Drosophila melanogaster: one gene and its partners. The gene in region 3 interacts genetically with the main gene of each other region. Each region holds a gene or a part of one and is shown on either strand. Other genes may lie near its edges.

Region 1 (6,293 bases), on a different chromosome or scaffold from region 3:
ATCCAGGCAGCCAAGAAATACGAGATAGTGAATATACCTTCCCTCGTTTATTTCCGGTAGGTGATAGTCAAAACTATAGGTGAAGTTTTTTAACCCTTTAACACTTTAGAAAACAAGTGCCCGTCCTCTACGACGGCGATCTACACCAACACGACAAGGTGATTACCTGGCTAACATCACAGGACGTATTCGAAATCAAAAACGAAATAGAAGAAGTAAACCGAAAAATGCTCGACAAACTACTCGAGGAAAATGAGTTCTTAGCCGTTTTTTTCTGTGAGTTTACTATCCTTTCTAAAACACTTTTCGATTAGTACAAACATGTCTTTTACTTAGACGAACACAATCAGCCGGACAGTACTGCAGCGCTGGAAAAACTCGAAAACATCGACAGCGAGACGGATAACCTGGACATCACCTTCGTCAAGATGGCCGACTCTCGTTATGCCAAGAAATGGGGCGTCACCAAGCTGCCGGCAATGGTCTACTTCCGCCGTCGGTTTCCCAGCATATATAGGGGTATGTCCGTGGGAACGTGAAGGGAGCAAAGGAGAAATCTCATTCTCATTCTCGTTCTCATTCAAGGTGATCTGTTATCCGAGGACGAAGTGCTGGAGTGGCTACGCAAGAACCGCTTCCGCCAGCCCGAGCTGAACATCTTTATGTACGCTCTGATTGCTCTGGCGGTGGCCTTTGTGGTCTACACCGCCTTCCTGCTGCAGTGCTTCAAGCCGGCGCCACCGCCTCCTGTCCAGCACCCCAAGCAGTCTTGAATGGTATGGGTTGGGGAATCGGGAAGAATGTACTGAATCACGTTGAACGGCTGTCAACTACGATGGAGGGTTTTCGACAAGACACACAAAAGCGAGCGAACCAAACTTGAAATGATTATCCAAAGTCACAATAATACACGCATATCTATGCACATTAAACTGTCATCCAATCGTCTAAATTAGACGCATGAAAACCACTTGTCTGGAGACAATCCATTGCTTTTGAAATATCTTTTGAGACAACTTGATAACTTTGATAAACTCTGATGCTTCCATTAATATCAAAACTCATGTATGTCACATTTACACATTTATTTGTCTTCTCACCCGTGTACATCATGGAAATCAATTACAGAAGAACACTATCAAGTCATAGTAATTACGTTAAATTTAAATTTAAACGCCATAATATTGTGTAATAAATGTCAATAATAATTTTTACAGTAACTTATTTACGGCCTATGATACTTAATAAACTATTGGATGATGTATGTAAAATTGTTCGTTGGGTTTGTCTTATTTTGATCATGATAATGCATAGGTAAAGTCCATGGTCAATATCATTTGAATTCAATCGCGGCAATACGTAGACGTTCTGTTCTAATGGTATTAAATAATATATTTCATATTTATACCCGTTACTCGTAGAATAAGAGGTTGTACTTGACAAAACTGCCACGCCCACACTTTTGAAAAATGTTTAGATTTTTATCTGTATACCAAAAACACGGTGGCCCTCTTTTCACCTACAAAACACCCAAAACGGTCACTCCCACACTTTTAAATAATTTTTACATTTGCATTCCCCAATATCTATTGATATCCGAGAAAAATGATGAAATTTCGCATTTCCACTAGCTGACTAACAGGTATCTTATAATCGGGGAAAATTGACTTTCGCATTCTCTCTTGTTTAGTTGTTTATTTGAGAGGCATCAATGGAACGGTCAATTTAATTAATTAAGAATGCAAAATCTTAAATAACAATTACCCATATAAAATCGCATTTCTCCTTCAAAGGTTTAAGTTGTATACCCTATTTTTTGTGAAAATCAATAATTGATGCAAAAGATGACTGCTATGTGGTTGACTGCTATCTTTAAATTCAGTCTTCAAAATAAACAGGTCGTTTGTCGTGACCCTCTTGCTGACCCCATTGGTCTCTACTATCGGTTTTTTCTCTTGAAGTAAGTAATTACTCTGAGATCTTATTTATGCTTTTTATTCACAACTAGAAATAAACTAAATTAAAAAACAATGCATACAGCAGGTTGGTTTGAGCAAAGAAAAGTAAAATCAATTGCTACTTTAGTTGTGTACTTGAGAAGAAGAACGTGATTGTCAATGGAAAAATCGAAATACCTCATATTAAGAATTCAAAACCTTGCCTAGAATTAAAGGACGATGACAAATGTAATCTCCCAAACTCGTGGTTAAATAATAAGTTTATCCGTTTATCCGTTGCAATAACGCCATTATATATTCAAAAACTATTCAAAGATTACCCAACGAGTGATTTATTTTATAATTTCCTTTGCTTCACAATATTTACAGGTACAGGTACATGTTTAATCTGACTCACGAACTATGTTAGTATGGGGCATTTGGCGGTGATATCTCAATTTCGAAGTTATCAGGCGAAACTGTCTCCACAACCTAGTGATAGCACATAGATTCCTGGGTGCACAAGGCTTTGCCTGCCGTTGACAACAAATTATTTGTTTTCGCCAGCTGAAATTTCAGTCTGAAAACTCCCACTGACATTCTAATGCGGCAAAACAGACCGATGAGCTCATGCTGGGAGCCAGGGAAATAATGGCTAATGTGGCAAAATGTGTTAAATCGAAAGGTAGATAATGACCGAAAGATATCATGCCGAAATTTTGCCGTATACCTTTCGCTAAAGCACATTGCTCGGCCAACTTAAGTCGAAACCACTAAGCCCTTAATATGTGTAAATATTCGACAATTCGCCGATACCTTCCACTAACTGAATAGATATCAATTCCACTATAAAAAGTGAATGGCTTGATATCGGGCCAGTTACTCCGTTTGCAATGGTAGACCAACACTTAATCGTGGCCAAGATCGTGGCCATAGTGGTGCTCTTCCTCGTTACCCTGATCTTCTGCTTTATTCCCTATCTTCTGGATCGCTTCTACAAGTGGACCCAGAGGCCCGAGAACAATGCTCGCGAATTCAAAGTGGTGCTGTGTCTGCTTAATTTCGGTGGAGGGGTTCTCATAGCCACCACCTTCATCCACATGCTGCCGGAGGTGGTCGAGGTGGTGAACGCTCTCCAGGACTGCCGCATGCTGGCCCCCACTCCCTTCGGCCTGCCGGAGGTTCTGCTCTGCACTGGCTTCTATCTGATGTACTGCATTGAGGAAACCATGCACTTTGTGGTTCGTCGGCGGCAGCAAAGGAAGCTACGGGAGGTGGTCACGATCAAGGATGCGGGCGAGGAGCTGCGGACAGAGATTGTGGTCCAGCCAGAAGAAAGCCCCAAGGAGCCCAACTGGCTGCGTGGCCTCGGAATAATCGTGGCCCTCTCCCTGCACGAACTCTTCGGCGGCATGGCCATTGGCCTGGAGATGAGTGTGAGCACGGTGTGGTTCATGACCGGAGCCATTTCCGTCCACAAGCTTGTTCTGGCCTTCTGCATCGGCATGGAGATCATGATGGCCCATACCCGCTGGCTGCTGGCCGTGGTTTACCTCCTCGTCTTCTCGATCGTAACTCCGATTGGCGTGGGCATCGGAATTGCAGTTAGCGAATCTGCCGCGGCTAATCAGCCCAGCACGGTATCAGGAATCCTCCAGGGGCTGGCCTGTGGCACCCTCATCTACGTGGTCTTCTTTGAAATTGTGGCCAAAAACCATGCCGGCATACGCATTTTACTCTCGTCGATGGTGGGATTCGTCCTGATGTTTGGCCTCCAGATAGCAAGTAAGCATACTAAAAAGCCCAAATGACTGAAAAACCAAATTACCACTCTTATTATTTCAGTTGGAGAGGCCAAAGGGAAGAGCCATTTCACATGCCCCTAGGGTATACTCGAATTTTATATGAAAACAATTAAGCCTATAGAGAAATTCAAAGAAACTACCGAAAAATAAAGCGTGGGCTTTTTGGCTTTATAAATATGGGGAAAGAGGACGGCAAGGTCAGGTCATCGACCATGAGATACCCTTTAAACGCCCTTCTGCGAGGGAAATTTATAAGTGGCATCAACAAAAGGACATTCTCCGAGTGCGCACATTAGCTCCACCTACCGGTTGCTACATACTAATTACCAAATTGCCCATAACTTTTAAATAAATGATCCGATTCGAACAACTTTTGGCATGGAAGTTTCTGCATTTATCACACCTTTATTTTGATAAATGTAAATTTATTTTATAAACAAATTTAGTAAAATTAAAAAACAAGCGTGGCGAAATCATCTGATCCTGGTCAAGAATATTTACATATATGGCTAGAATCTTTTTAACTTTTTAAAAAATGTGCTGCGATTTTAATTCCATGCCTGCAATCCTTACCATATAAACCTAAGATGAGACCGCCTTGGATGGACAAATAAATTATCTCAGTGTATCAATAATAATAATATTCGGGAAATACTTCCGAAGTTCCTGCACATTACGAAACTTCCCTCAATCATAAAATTCGCAAAGAACAGACGGCTATGGTTCGGTTATCGGTGGGCCGACGAGAGACACCTGTCCAGGGGACGGCGAATTGATAACAATACTAGGCTGCGAGGCTTGCCCGCTGTCTGCCAGTGAATCCGCGTATCAATCAGCGATCAGATTTCAATCGGCTCCCGCTGATATATGACTGGAAATATAAACCATTAGCCTGGTTGTGAGTTCCAGCCAGCACAGTCGAAGCTATCAACTCGGGAGGTGAAGATGAGCGCTACCGCAACTATGTCACAAGAGCAAACGCAAGACGTGGATCACCATGCGCTGCTGGTGGCCAAAATAGTTTCCATGGTGGTGCTCGTGGTGATCACCGTGCTTTGCGGCAGCCTTCCCTACGTCCTGAACAGGTGCTTCCATTGGACGAAGGCGAGTCCGGAGGAAACCCGCTCGTCATTGGTGGTGCGGTGCCTACTCTTTTTCGGCGGCGGTGTGCTCATCTGCACCACCTTCCTGCACATGCTGCCCGAGGTGATCGAGGTGGTGGAAGCGCTCCAGGAATGCGGCTCGCTTGTCAAGACGCCCTTCGCTCTGGCGGAGATGCTGCTGTGCACGGGCTTTTTCCTGATGTACGCGTTGGACGAGCTGATGACCAGCCTCGTGCGGCACCACCAGGGAAAGCTTAGTCGGAAAGAGTCGGTGGCCAGTCTGGCTTTCGAAAGAGGACGCAGCATTCGTCACAGTGTTCTCCTCAATCCACAGGCGAAGGAAGAAGTGGAAGTTAAGGATACGGAACCGCAGCCACACAAGGATCACCACGGCCACTCGCACATGCCCGTGCCAGCGGACGATGGATCCTCTGCCAGGGGGCTGGGCATTATCCTCGCCCTTTCGCTCCACGAACTGTTCGAGGGCATGGCCATTGGTCTGGAGGGCACTGTGAGCACTGTGTGGTTCATGTTTGGAGCGGTCTCCGCCCACAAGTTGGTGTTGGCCTTCTGCGTGGGTATGGAGCTTCTGGTCGCCCGCACACGCAGTTCGCTGGCCATCTTGTACCTGGTGACATTCTCCATTGTTACACCCATCGGTATCGGTGTTGGCCTCGGCATCAGCCAGCAGGTGGCAGCGGGTCAGCCCAGTCTGCCATCCGGAGTCCTCCAGGGCATCGCCTGTGGAACCTTGCTGTACGTAGTCTTCTTTGAGATCCTCATTGAGAGCCATGCCGGATGGAGGGCCCTTGTGGCCGCCGTTGCGGGATTCGCTCTAATGTTTGGCCTTCAAATTCTTTGTGAGTTACAACTGTTTGACATTAACGGTAGGACCGGCTTTTTAGCTTCCATTTCTACTTTTTGTCTCTTTTACAGCTGACGAAGCGGAGGGTGATGACAGCCTAACCTGTTCCTAGCCAGTGTGACGCCACTTCAGTATTATCAAGTTATAGAGGAAGCAACAAAATAGTATACAAAACGATTCCCTGGGGATCTGTAAAAGTTATTATATAAAATACGAATAGAATTTCAAAAGAGGTTTCTCAGAAATCTTATCCAACGCAAATAATTAAAAATGTAATAACCATATGGATTAAAAGAGACAATATTTTACTTTATATTCAGCTAGTGAGGCTCTTTAAGCTTTTTATAAATTTTAATATATTACGTATAAGAGCGTCTATCCAAATATTTTAATCACCTCTTCATAAATTAGTTTGATCTTACTGCGCGTACGCTTCATAACCAACATTATCGATAAAGTTGGCGGTTCATTCTCATTAACAGAGGGCTTAATCGAACATCTGTGGGGTAACGTAACAGTGTTTCACGCTAACAGTACCCAAACAACATTATTCGCGCGCGGGCACTATCGATAACTTCATATC
Region 2 (6,293 bases), on a different chromosome or scaffold from region 3:
CAACTGGTCCTCATACTTTTGAATAAGCCTCTGCTTAAGCTTCTTAATCTTCTCACTGATAGTGTCTTTTAGGAAAGGCTTCTGGCTTTCGTAGGCATGTCTGCACATTTTCTGCACTATTTGCTTCAGTTCGTAGTCCATATTCTTAAAATGATCATTAAGTTTCTCATCGTCCGCAAATGGCGCAAATATTTGCGATATTAAATGATCGGGAAACGTATCGGGCGTTTGGGATTGCAGACTCTCTCGGGCTGCTACCATTATTGTTTTCTTTATGCTCTGACTGAAGCTCAGCTTTTGGCTGCTCTGCAATTTAAGATTCTCGATCGTTTGCTTCTGATGTCTTGTTTGAATTTGCAGAACAACGAGCTTCAGTTTGAGCTCATTAACCTTGCGATCCAATTGGTCGTGCTCATCTATGAGGTTCTTTTGCTCGTAAATAGCTCTCGAAGGAAACTCATCTTCTTCCGATTCTCCTATATACTCCGGATTTGTGAAGGAAGCGCTTTGATTACCCATTTCGGTTAACTTGTGGTCCATATCCGTGTCCTGCCCGTATGTAGAGAGGTCTACTTCTTTTTCCGACCGCTGAAACTTTTCTGCTTTCGAGGAGAACGGGTGATTCTCCTGGAAGACGTGGCCCTCCGTTCGCGGATCTCTGCTACTCAGGATCTTGAGGGCTTTGTATAGGTTTGGATGCTTACCATTGCACGACTTGTAGGCCGTGGTGGACAGCTGGTGATCCAGGGCGCTGTCGTAGAAAGTGTTGTCGCCCACATAGATGCTGTTTCTCTTGTCCGGCGAGGATTCAAACGACGTGGAGGCGGATACGTCCATGGTCGTGTTCAGTTGGGTCAGTTGGAGGCCTGGAAGAATCGGTTGCTAGTGGAAATTCGGTTTCGGTTGCTGGCGAGGCGACGTTTAAACATCTGGCGAAGAACTGTGGAGTACCCAGAGTTGAAGAGCGATTATCAGAGACATGTATATAGATAATACGTTTGCCTTACTCTCTGCAAACTGCAAATTTGTTTTACTTTTCTGCCTACGTGTCGTACATTGCCAGTTGATTATGTTCAGTCGGGTTTTCTCGACTGACTTTAAAGTCTGCGCCACACACGCACACACATTTGTGCTCCACATATTTGCCTTAGAATTTGTGTAATTCACCTGGGCATTCTGTGTTTTCTTAATTTACTCACCTGAAAATTTGTGTTTAGTGTGGGTGTTGTTGCACTGCTGGATGTTTGGGGCACATTGGCAGAGGCCTTAATTGACGACTGTCTGCTGATTGAAAACTCAATTTGATTGGCGCTGATTACGTTTTTGATTCAATGCGTGCTCTTAATTTAAATAAAAACCCAAAAAACTAAAGAAATTAAATTGTGATTAAATTCTTCTTGCTAGCGTCGACCAGTGTTGCCTAATGCTTAAAATGCAATTATAAGAGCGACTCTAGTGCAAGAAACGAGTAATCGATTCTGGTTCGATAGGCAACGACTTCGATAAGGCGCAAATTAAACTAGTTGTAAAGGTTTTACGCTATATGTTGTATGCAAGAAAATCAACATAATTTAGCTATAAATATAGGCTACACTTATTTTTAATTATAAGTCCAAATTTCTTAGTGCATAGGAGTGGAATAACTAATTTTATATCAGTTTTTGGAATGCCCCTAACATGTCCGTGGTATTATTATTTAGTAACGTCAGGGTCACACTTTTGTTTTGTTTTGCTTTGCAACTTGACTTTTAAAATTGCAATTGCAGCATGGCCGAAGAACCCGAGGAACCCGCCAAGGTATGGATTACATAAATCTATTGGACATCAGGTGCCTGATTAAGCTTTAACTATGTTTAATCTCCCATAGAGCTTCGTTATCTTCGGACGCGATGTGGCGCAGATCCCGTGCTTTCGTAACAGTTTTCTCTACGGAATCAGCGGAGGAATCGGCATCGGCTTGCTGACTTTTCTGGGCACCTCGCGAACCCACCTGTCCACCCACGTGGGCTTCGGCTCCTTCTTCTGCGGCACCATCGCCTACTGGATGACCTGCAGGTAAGTGACTGTGATTAAAACCGTGCGGCGCCCTTATCACTTAATTATCAATGTGGCATCCGCAGGTATCAATGGTCCGTCAGGAGATTCGAGCAGCAGCAATTGCGTGAGGCGATGAGACGACAAGCCCTTTATGAGGGCACCCAAAGGGAGAGAGACTTAGATCTGAAGTCGGCGTAGCATAAGTCAGATCCTTCATTACTACTTCGATGTTTGTTTTCACTCTAGGATACCAAGTAATCCTGGCATTGTTAAATCCCTTGTGTTGTAAACTACCTTTTGTTACCAAACTTTATAGTAGCCAATATATTATATATATGTTGTAAGTGAAATCTTAGCTTGCCACTCGTAGGGAATTAATTATGCCACCATCTTTGATTTGGGATTGACAGAAATCAATCCATCATTTTAATGATTGTGGTTCCTAAAACCTGTTGGGCTTTATTGTGCTTTCGATTTGATTTAAGCTGATAGAGCTAGTTGTTTACTTTTGAAGAACCTTGAACCCATTTTGACGACCTTTTAACTTTTTAATAGTTTTTTTTTACCATTTACATAAAAGCAAAATTTACAGTCTAAAAGTTGTATATTCAATACGTTCTGGTACGTAAAAGGGTTATTTAATGCACCATTTTTACAACTTTAGATAGTATACTTTTTACTTGAGTGGGAGCCATATCACAAAAATGAAATGAAAGGTTAAAAAAGTATCTAAAAGTAAGTTTCAATTAATATTCTGAAAAATAATTGCATTTCATGTACGTTTCTCTGAAATACCCCTAATTCGATACTATTTATAAATCTGGAAGATATATAGCTAGGAAATAGATTTATATATTTGCCTAGTTTGAACACCTTGTGAACATTTTGTTTAAAAAAAAAGCGTATCGTGGTACTAGAAAACTTTAAGATACAGATAAATAACTTCACTATACCGAGGTTTTGGTGTTTCTTGAGACTGAAGGACAATCTTCAAAATGGTCTTAATTCTTGAGATAGAAAAGCTGCAGTTCTCATGCTGAATAGTGATCAGTACGATTTTATCTGACAGATTGCTTTCCTAGCTGACCACACCGATCTCGGATGGGTATCTGCTCTAATCCGAGATAGCAGGTAGTAGAACTGCTGCCTCGTAACCCCTAGACATGGCCATTTCCACGCACATGTAGGCGATCCTGCACTCGTCGGTCGCTCGTCTTATCTCACAAAAATAAAAGTCGGCGTTTGGATGGATTGCTCGGCTGGCTGTTGGCACATTCATTACGTTTTCGTTGACGGCGCGAGACGGTTGTGTTGTTTTTTAATCGGCGGGCACATGAGGTTGTCGGTTCTCTAATTTTGAAATAAAAAACTTGTTTTCGCTTTACATTCAAGGAACGCACCTCCTCCCCTCCATATATGTAAACGAGCTTCGTAATTGCAGGCTAACACTTATATAGGCATTGGTACTGAGATACAGCGAGATACCGTGAGCTACAGATACATAGCACTTCACGATGTCTAACTCGGTTTTGGTGTTTTTCGTGAATGGAAAGAAGGTACTTAAAGATACTCGGATGCCTTGCGTGTCTTTCCTTAAAGTCGGCCCACTCCTACTATATCGATTCCCTTTATTGTTTTATTGCCCTAATTGCGTTTAACTGGCATTCGATGGAATTTGCCTTCTTGCTCAATTGAATGTGTCGAATGTATATAGTATTTGCTGTGCATATAGTGATAACAATTGACCCCCATGTGAAGCCTCGTTGTTTGCTGGTGGCCCCTTATCGCCCGATCAAGATGGTGCACTTGCCAATCGCGCATGGGAGCAGTGCTACTCGGATGTGGGTGAGCTGGGATCGTCATGGGCATTTGTGTCTGCCAGATAGCCAGGCCCTCTAATCCGCACATTCCCACCGGCTGTGCGGTGTTTACAATCCAGTGAGCTCGGCTGGATTATTCAGATAAAGCTGGCCATATTTAGCATCTGGTGTTGGTGGAGTGCAGTTGGAGTTCTTTACTTTGTGCTCACAGCTTGCGCACAAGTGAAGTAAATAATAATAAATAACCAGTTGCTCGTGCGCCCGGCATTTGATAGTGATAGATAGCAATCTCTGTTTGCTCAGGGCTGGCAGAGCAGATAACACTTTCGCTGTTTTAAGTTTAAACAAAGTCACAGTTTTGACAAACAATTGCTTTAAACCATATAAACTTATAATTATAGCAATTATAATTAAGTAGGTACAGATCTTAAAGCTACAAGATACAAGATACAAATTTTCCCATTAATGGATAAATGGCATTAGATACTTTTGGGAAATTGATTTCGTTTTTTTCATTTTATTATATTTATACATTTCTTATTCCAGGTGACCGAAGTGTCGCCTGATCCGGAGTGCACGCTCCTCACATTCCTGCGCGAAAAGCTGCGGCTGTGCGGAACGAAGTTGGGATGTGCGGAAGGCGGATGCGGCGCCTGCACCGTGATGGTGTCCCGCCTAGACCGTCGGGCCAACAAGATACGTCACCTGGCGGTCAACGCCTGCCTGACGCCAGTGTGCTCGATGCACGGATGTGCGGTGACCACTGTGGAGGGTATAGGGAGCACCAAAACGCGTCTGCATCCGGTGCAGGAGCGACTGGCCAAGGCGCACGGATCCCAGTGCGGCTTCTGCACGCCGGGCATTGTGATGTCCATGTACGCACTTCTGCGGAACGCGGAGCAACCCTCTATGCGAGACTTGGAGGTGGCATTCCAAGGTAACCTGTGCCGCTGCACCGGCTATCGACCCATTCTCGAGGGCTACAAGACGTTCACCAAGGAGTTTGCCTGCGGAATGGGCGAGAAGTGCTGCAAAGTTAGTGGGAAAGGATGCGGAACCGATGCGGAGACCGATGACAAGCTCTTCGAGCGCAGCGAATTCCAGCCCTTGGATCCCAGCCAGGAACCCATCTTCCCACCGGAACTTCAGCTGAGTGACGCCTTCGATTCTCAGAGTTTGATCTTTAGTTCGGATAGGGTGACCTGGTATCGTCCCACCAATCTGGAGGAGCTGCTTCAGCTGAAGGCCAAACATCCGGCTGCCAAGCTGGTCGTGGGCAATACGGAAGTGGGCGTTGAGGTTAAGTTCAAGCACTTCCTCTACCCGCACCTCATTAATCCCACCCAGGTGAAGGAGCTGCTGGAGATCAAAGAGAACCAGGATGGCATTTACTTCGGTGCGGCTGTCAGTTTGATGGAGATCGATGCGCTTCTGCGGCAGAGAATCGAGCAGCTGCCGGAATCGGAGACCAGATTGTTCCAGTGCACCGTGGATATGCTTCACTACTTTGCCGGCAAGCAGATCCGCAACGTCGCCTGTTTGGGTGGAAACATCATGACCGGTAGTCCCATTTCCGATATGAATCCTGTGCTCTCGGCAGCAGGAGCTCAACTGGAGGTGGCCAGTTTTGTGGATGGAAAGCTCCAAAAGAGATCAGTTCACATGGGAACTGGGTTCTTCACTGGCTATCGCAGGAATGTTATCGAAGCCCACGAGGTGCTGCTGGGCATCCACTTTCGGAAGACCACTCCGGACCAGTATATCGTTGCTTTTAAGCAGGCCAGGAGAAGGGATGATGACATAGCCATCGTAAATGCCGCAATAAACGTTCGCTTTGAGGAAAAATCCAACATTGTGGCGGAGATCTCGATGGCTTTTGGTGGAATGGCACCAACCACAGTGCTCGCTCCTCGAACTTCCCAACTGATGGTTGGGCAGGAGTGGAGCCACCAGCTCGTGGAGCGCGTGGCGGAGAGCTTGTGCACGGAGCTGCCTTTGGCTGCCTCCGCTCCGGGTGGCATGATCGCCTATCGTCGAGCTCTGGTGGTGAGCCTGTTCTTCAAGGCCTATCTGGCCATTTCCCTGAAGCTGAGCAAGTCAGGGATCACATCTTCCGATGCTCTGCCATCGGAGGAGCGAAGTGGTGCCGAGACATTCCACACACCAGTACTCAAAAGTGCCCAGCTCTTCGAGCGCGTCTGCAGCGATCAACCCATCTGTGATCCCATTGGGAGACCAAAAGTTCATGCGGCTGCTTTGAAACAGGCCACTGGTGAAGCTATCTACACAGATGACATTCCCCGCATGGATGGTGAAGTTTATCTGGCCTTTGTCCTTAGTACCAAGCCACGTGCCAAGATCACCAAGCTGGATGCCAGTGAAGCTCTGGCCCTGGACGGAGTGCATCAGTTCTTTTGCTACAAGGACTTAACGGAG
Region 3 (6,293 bases):
TTTTGGATTTCCGCATCCATAATGCGTCCGTTTATCGTGCTATCGCCCTGTTTTCGTCGCCTGCTGACAATGATCTTTCCTACCTGTTGATTTACGGCTACATTTACGGCCCAAAAGGAGAAAGAAAAACGCATCTGATACTAAGTATATATACGCACATACATGGTAATGATAATTTATGCGACAAGGCCACGATCACAGACGGAACTTCCTATCAACCAAATGAGATGGGATGGAGGATGGGATGGCATAATTGAATTGATGATAGACCGCAGTCGCCGGTCGCCTTGCACTTGGAAATCGGCCAATTGATGGAAAGAGTCGAGTCAAGTCGAGGGCTTCATCTATTTATACTATATATATATACTATACTTCTGCCGGGCTCAATTTTGTATTGTGCCACAGGTGGCTGGTGTTTTATCATGTATATATGCTTGTTATTAACTGCCAGTCAAGTGAGCTTCAATCCGCGTATTTTTTGGAATTTCTCAGACCTGGTGGATTCTGGAGAACCGGAATAAGTGTTAAAACAAATTATCCTAAGATTTATGACCATGTTGTCTATCCTGGCGTAGCTTAGGTATTATCAGTCATAGCTGATGGTCGGCAAATACATACAGTAATACGGTTGGAAATAAAGTGCGAAATCCCCGACCATTAAGATAAGACTGGTGCACATCTTCATTAAATATTAAACGACGCCACTCACCAGAACTCTCCCTCGGATGTCGGTGCTTGGGGTCATGAATTTCTAGGAACTCCGGAACCTCGGCCTCCGACTGTGAATTTGAGTGATTGCCACGAGGAGAGATTTGCAGCTCCAAAGCTTCCTCATCGGTGGCATTGACTCGTGTCGGCTCAAAGTAATACGTTACATTTGTGGCATGCGGCATCTCGTTCGAGTATCCCTGAGGTCGATGCTGATCGATCGTGTGCGAGGGATCGAATTGGATTTGACCCAAGTTCAGGCTGAACATCAAATGCTCAAGACCCTGGAAAATATTTTAGTTCCTCATTTAATAGGCATTTAAAGCAGCATTACAGCATATTTAGAGAGCACTTAGACGTTATCTGGAAGTTTTCCAAGATACAAAACCAAAGTAAAACAAGTGTGATTAAGGCACACGTTATTGCAAGGCGCAAAATATAAGTAAACTATCTAATGATAAGGACAGATAGCATTATGCTTCAATAATTGTAGACAAACTATTTTCTTTTAACGATAATTAAGTATTTGATAATAGGTATTAAAATAACATTGGCAATGATAAATAGACTTACAAATATCTATGCACAAATTCTCAGAAAGTTTGATAATTCAATAGTTTTAGATAGTTGTGATTTCCCTAAACTATTTAAACAGTAAGTGCAACCTTGAAGTTTTAAAACCCATTTAAAAACAACAATTAATCTCGAAGTAGCTGGAGTAAACGCAACAAAACAACTGCCAGCTGTTTTGTTTTCGGTGAGCGTCCTGAAATCGTTTTTAAAAACAAACCTTAACCTGCTGCACATTTTTCACAGTAGCTATCCACGAAATTTCACGCCGACAAATCGATCGCATTTGCTATTTATTTAACTAATTTGTCAAAGTATATACTCTGGCTGCGATCTATCACCGATAATTACTTGATTTACTTGTCAACGTGCCAGGCAATTATATTTACATCTGAATTCATTTGTTTATTGTTATTCCTCCATTCTGTCGCATATTTGCTGTCGCTAAAGTGGGTGGAGATTCCCCGGGGCGGCGGTGGAGCCCCATCTAATTGCCTCGACAGCGACCTGTCGCCGGGGATCGGGGCGTGTGTCCGGCGTGTGATGAGTGGCTCCAAAGAATTGCCCAGATTCCCAAGATCAGGATGGCGGAATTTGCATATGAACAAACATTAGACACACACGCGCTGGCACACACAAAAAAAAAAAACTATTTATTATGTAGCTCATGAAGCCACCAAATGGCGAATTTTACTTTCATTCAGCTGAGATTTGTTTGTGTGCCAAGTGTGCTATATGTAATCAAATTTGGAATATTAGAATGATGATAGAATACGAGACGGTTGGGTGGGCATGGGACATGAGACATGGGGCATCGGGCATCCAACCCTTAATGTTAGTATGCCGAGTGCGTAAAAAGTAAAAACATTTTTAGTAGCGGCTTGCCATTCAAATGGACACACCGTATTGCGTAGCCCATACGCATGAGTAATGTCAATTGGCTCCGATTGTTCGGAATCGGACGGACTATAGCTTTGGAGTCCATAAGCATAACGATCGCGTTGCGAAAGTTGCGGTTGCTTTTGTATCTTTGGTTTATCGGGCATCCAGTGTGCGCCCATTAGGAGGAGGAGCAAGCAGTCTTATCGGGCTTATCATCTCGTAATCTCCGACGTGGATATAGAAGGATGTCTTGGGCGGGGGGTGGGTGTTGTTCGTCGTGTTGATGCTCAAGTCTCGTACTGTACATCTCACTGTGCCTGTGCTGCTCGTTAGTCTGGATTTTGATTAAATTTATGATAATGCCAGCAATAAAGTCTACGTTTTGTATCATACGAAGTGCCTGCTGTCTGCCCACTGTGTTATAAAATTGCTGCGCGCATATAAAGATTACAACCTTTTAAAAGTGACGCGATAATCGCTGTTGAGAGTGTTTTGGTTGCCCGATCAAGCCGAGTTGGCCAGAACACAATTGTTTCACTTTCACAATGCCCAAATATTTGATTAACTCGTAATCATATGAGAACACCCCCCCCCCTCCCACACATTGTTTTTGTTGCTGGCCCAAAAATGACAAAAACGAGAGAAAAAAAAGAAGACACAAACTCACTAATTTTTTGCCATAACGCTAACCGCAAAAGCTTTGTCCCGTGTCCGACTTTGTTTACCTGTGTTTACCTGTGCTCAAATTACGCTCTTGTGTGTGTTTACAAGGCTAGTTCGATGGTTTATTGGTTATTACCTCAAAGTTGATTGTCCCGCCGTTGCCGTATTTTTGAAATATCTGCGCCACGTATTTGTTGTATTCCGTGGAAGCTGGCACTGTTTTGAAAAATAGTGAGCCCAGGCAAAATAGGTTTAAGACTAGCACCTGCTTTTGGGCCATCGTAATGGACTGAACACTCAGGTGGTGGTAGATAGTATTTCTCTTTTCGTTTTATTCTATTCGTTTTATTGAACCCGGTTATCTACTGGTCACTCGTCATTTCACTGGGGGCTTCACCGGGATTTTTTCGAGTTTTTACAGACGCGTGCGATCCGTAACACTGCAGCCAACTACCGATCCCGTTCAACGGTCTTTTGAAATGACAGTTTCGCCCACGCAACGTTTTATACGACTTTCGGTTCGACGAGCGTCGGCGCGTTCTCCTTTCTCCCTCTCTCCTTCGCCCACTGGGCGGGCAACTCATCGCTCTGCGCACTCGCTACAAACTTAACTGTCATTTGGATTGAGCTTTGGAAAAGCTTTCGCCGGACCATCAAATTTGAGCGCCAAAAATTAATAAAGTCGATTAACCTGTTCATCGGCTAAACTCACATTAAATAGTGTACTCAGCCTTTAAATTGAAAATACTAAAGTTTTACACTTTCCTTTCATAATCTTAAGAATCTGGCTAAATGTTATTATTAAGCAACAATACTTTATACTAAAAACTATCCGGTAGATTGTAACTATGAAGAAAAAGATTGCATACCTAAAGGCGTTGTAAAGGCGCTTTCATCAAGTAGTGAGTTTTAGAACTCGCTGGAGTAGGAAAAATAACTAGAAAATGAAAATATTTAAAAAAATTAATAAATATTGTGGTAGATAATTATGATACTTTAAATAGATACCATGCGAAATGATATAAGTTACTTTTTTACCTTTAAAATGCCAATTTCCGCCCACTTCACAAAAAGTAATAAGATTAAAGTTTAATGTGTTTATTATTAACTTTCTTATACAAAACAAATTCGATTTTTTACATTTCGCAAAAAGTTGCATCAATAATAATTATTACTTACTGAATAAGCTCCTAATTACTTGTATAATATGTAAAAATTGGTTCGCATTTTGTATAACAGGCGTACTTCTGCTTTCGACGAGGAACTCATTTTTTTTGGGTTTGAAATATACATTAAAAGTACGACTAACAAATAATATTAATTGAAGCAGGGACTTCCCTACCAGAATGCATTTGAGTTATTTACAATAACACTTTTGTAATGTTGTGCGTAGGTTTTCAAAATTTCGCGTTGCTAACCTATCTTAGGGGTAAATTGAGACTTATCCTAACTACAAGATATTCCCTTCTATAGTTGCGTTGATCGATACATCCACAAAAGGCCCTCTCTTCCCAAAGTCGTAGAGTCCTGCAGTCCTAGTCGAACTTCTCCTGGTTGGGCATACAGATGAAGAATTTGGAGCACCACAGGTTGATCGCCTGCGAAGTGTCCGCCAGCCATTTGACCGGTTTGTGGATGGTCAGGTAGTAGACCGGAATTCCAGACAGTATAATGATCGTCCCGATTCCTACCACATATGGCGTCTGCGTGCAAGAGAAGATGACCAGGAACAGGCAGACGATCAGATAGATGATGGGCAGCGCCAAGTTGACCTTGATGGGTCGCTCCGTCTTGGGTTGCTTGTAGCGCATCCACAGCAGTCCGGATACCGAGATCAGCGTGAACAACGCCTCCACGTAGCTGACGTAGTTGATTAGTACGTAGACGTCCTCGATGAACAGCAGCAGCAAGGTGAGCACGCCCTGGGAAATTAAAAAAAGAAAAGAACATGATAATTTGATAAAAACAAATATTTATAGATTCTTTACTTAGGTTAAGCCTCTAACTTACCAGGAATATCAGCGAGGGCACAGGTGTCAGGCAATTAACGTTAATCAGCGAAATGGCGGCCGGCAGGTGACCATTCCTTGCACCGACGAAGAAAAGTCGCGAGGACGCGAAGATCGCTCCATTCAGCGAACCAAAAGTGGAGCAGGCCACAGCGAAGGGCATAATCCAGGACATATACCCCAGCATCTTGTCGCCAAACGTGACTGCCACTGCATCTGACGAAAGGATCTCGTCTGGCGAGAGAACCGAAAAGTATGCAATATTCGTGATCATATAGATGACCGTGACCACCGGCATTGAGATGCAAATGGCCTTGGGCAGGTTTCGGTACGGATCCTTGAGCTCCTCTGTTACAAAGTTCAAATAGTTCCAGCCGGAGTACGAGAAGAGGCCGCTATAGAAGGCCAGGGCTATATATCCAGGATCTTGAAGGCCTCCCGAGAAGGGATTATCCCAGTGCTCTGTGTTTCCATCGAACAACCACCAGACTCCGGCGCCAACGATCACCAGGAGGGCAACCACCTTGGTGCCCGTAAAGATGTCCGTCACACGCGTAACCCACTTAACATTATAGCAATTGATAAGCGTCAGCACACCTAGGGTGGAAGATCAAGCAATTAGTCAATATAGTCTATGCCTAGTCTCACCACCGATTAGCTATCAGCGAATCTTACATATCATGGCAGCCGCCAGCAGCTGAACAGCTTCAATGGGCGCGTCGCAGGAAGGCCAAAAAGGTTTCAGCAGATATATGGCAAAAGTCAGAGCCGTAATCGCATTGCCCGTGGGCACCAGGATCAGCAGGGCCACCCACAGATAAAGGAACGCAGGCAGAGGACCAAATGCAGTGCCTATATAGGCATAATCTCCGCCTGATTTGGGTATCATCGTGCCTGGAAAAGTTAAAATATTAGTTATAGAAGAAAATTTGCTCATTACGGCGTAGTTCACGGGGAACATCCCAAGAGAATAATGTTTAAAAAGTGATTAGGCTAATAGAGAGCAAACGTTGACAATCTGATAAGCATGACACAGTTCTGAAAATGCTTTGAGGTATGCATTTGCCTATCTAAGGAGGGTTGTTCCAGCAATTGGAGAAATTTTGGAAACGCTTAAAAAGCGTGTACTAACTATTCCATTTTTTACGACCATCCTAGTAATTGGTGATAATTTTATTTTATTTGCTCTGTCCATTCACTTCATTAAGATTTATGGAACTTTATTTAGTACTTAAATAGTTTGACATGAAAAGTTAGAAAAAGGTAGCATAAATATTTGATTTTCAAAAATATGTTCAAACATTCTGATCAGATCAGATTGAACTTCCATTGATATTTCGAAAAGCAAACTTTAAAAATTATGCTAATTTGTGTCTGCCGAAAATGTATGGTAATGAGTGTCTGCCTGGCTGATTGTTAAAAAAAAACGTGTTTTAATAATGATTACAAAGCCATAAGCAA

Evidence for each region.
Region 1: of Zip71B (region 3) and Zip42C.2, changing one enhances a phenotype caused by changing the other (phenotypic enhancement), as found in Drosophila melanogaster (one study listed by BioGRID).
Region 2: of Zip71B (region 3) and ry, changing one suppresses a phenotype caused by changing the other (phenotypic suppression), as found in Drosophila melanogaster (one study listed by BioGRID).

The regions. Positions count from the first base shown.
Region 1 is NT_033778.4:6,716,071-6,722,363, reverse strand, and holds Zip42C.2 (Zinc/iron regulated transporter-related protein 42C.2), read left to right. Parts: upstream 1-2,830; coding exon 2,831-3,722; intron 3,723-3,782; coding exon 3,783-3,823; 3' UTR 3,824-4,168; downstream 4,169-6,293. Other genes in the region: hlk (hulk), read left to right, coding at 1-56, 110-276, 337-519, 586-773; Zip42C.1 (Zinc/iron regulated transporter-related protein 42C.1), read left to right, coding at 4,688-5,705, 5,782-5,822.
Region 2 is NT_033777.3:13,029,215-13,035,507, forward strand, and holds the start of ry (rosy), read left to right. Parts: upstream 1-3,313; 5' UTR 3,314-3,551; coding exon 3,552-3,593; intron 3,594-4,403; coding exon 4,404-6,293. Other genes in the region: CG46280 (uncharacterized protein), read right to left, coding at 705-837; CG46281 (uncharacterized protein), read right to left, coding at 1-540; l(3)87Df (lethal (3) 87Df), read left to right, coding at 1,768-1,797, 1,868-2,055, 2,121-2,235.
Region 3 is NT_037436.4:14,989,282-14,995,574, reverse strand, and holds the start of Zip71B (Zinc/iron regulated transporter-related protein 71B), read right to left. Parts: upstream 3,287-6,293; 5' UTR 3,104-3,286; coding exon 2,960-3,103; intron 993-2,959; coding exon 710-992; intron 1-709. Other genes in the region: mnd (minidiscs), read right to left, coding at 4,359-4,745, 4,834-5,429, 5,508-5,726.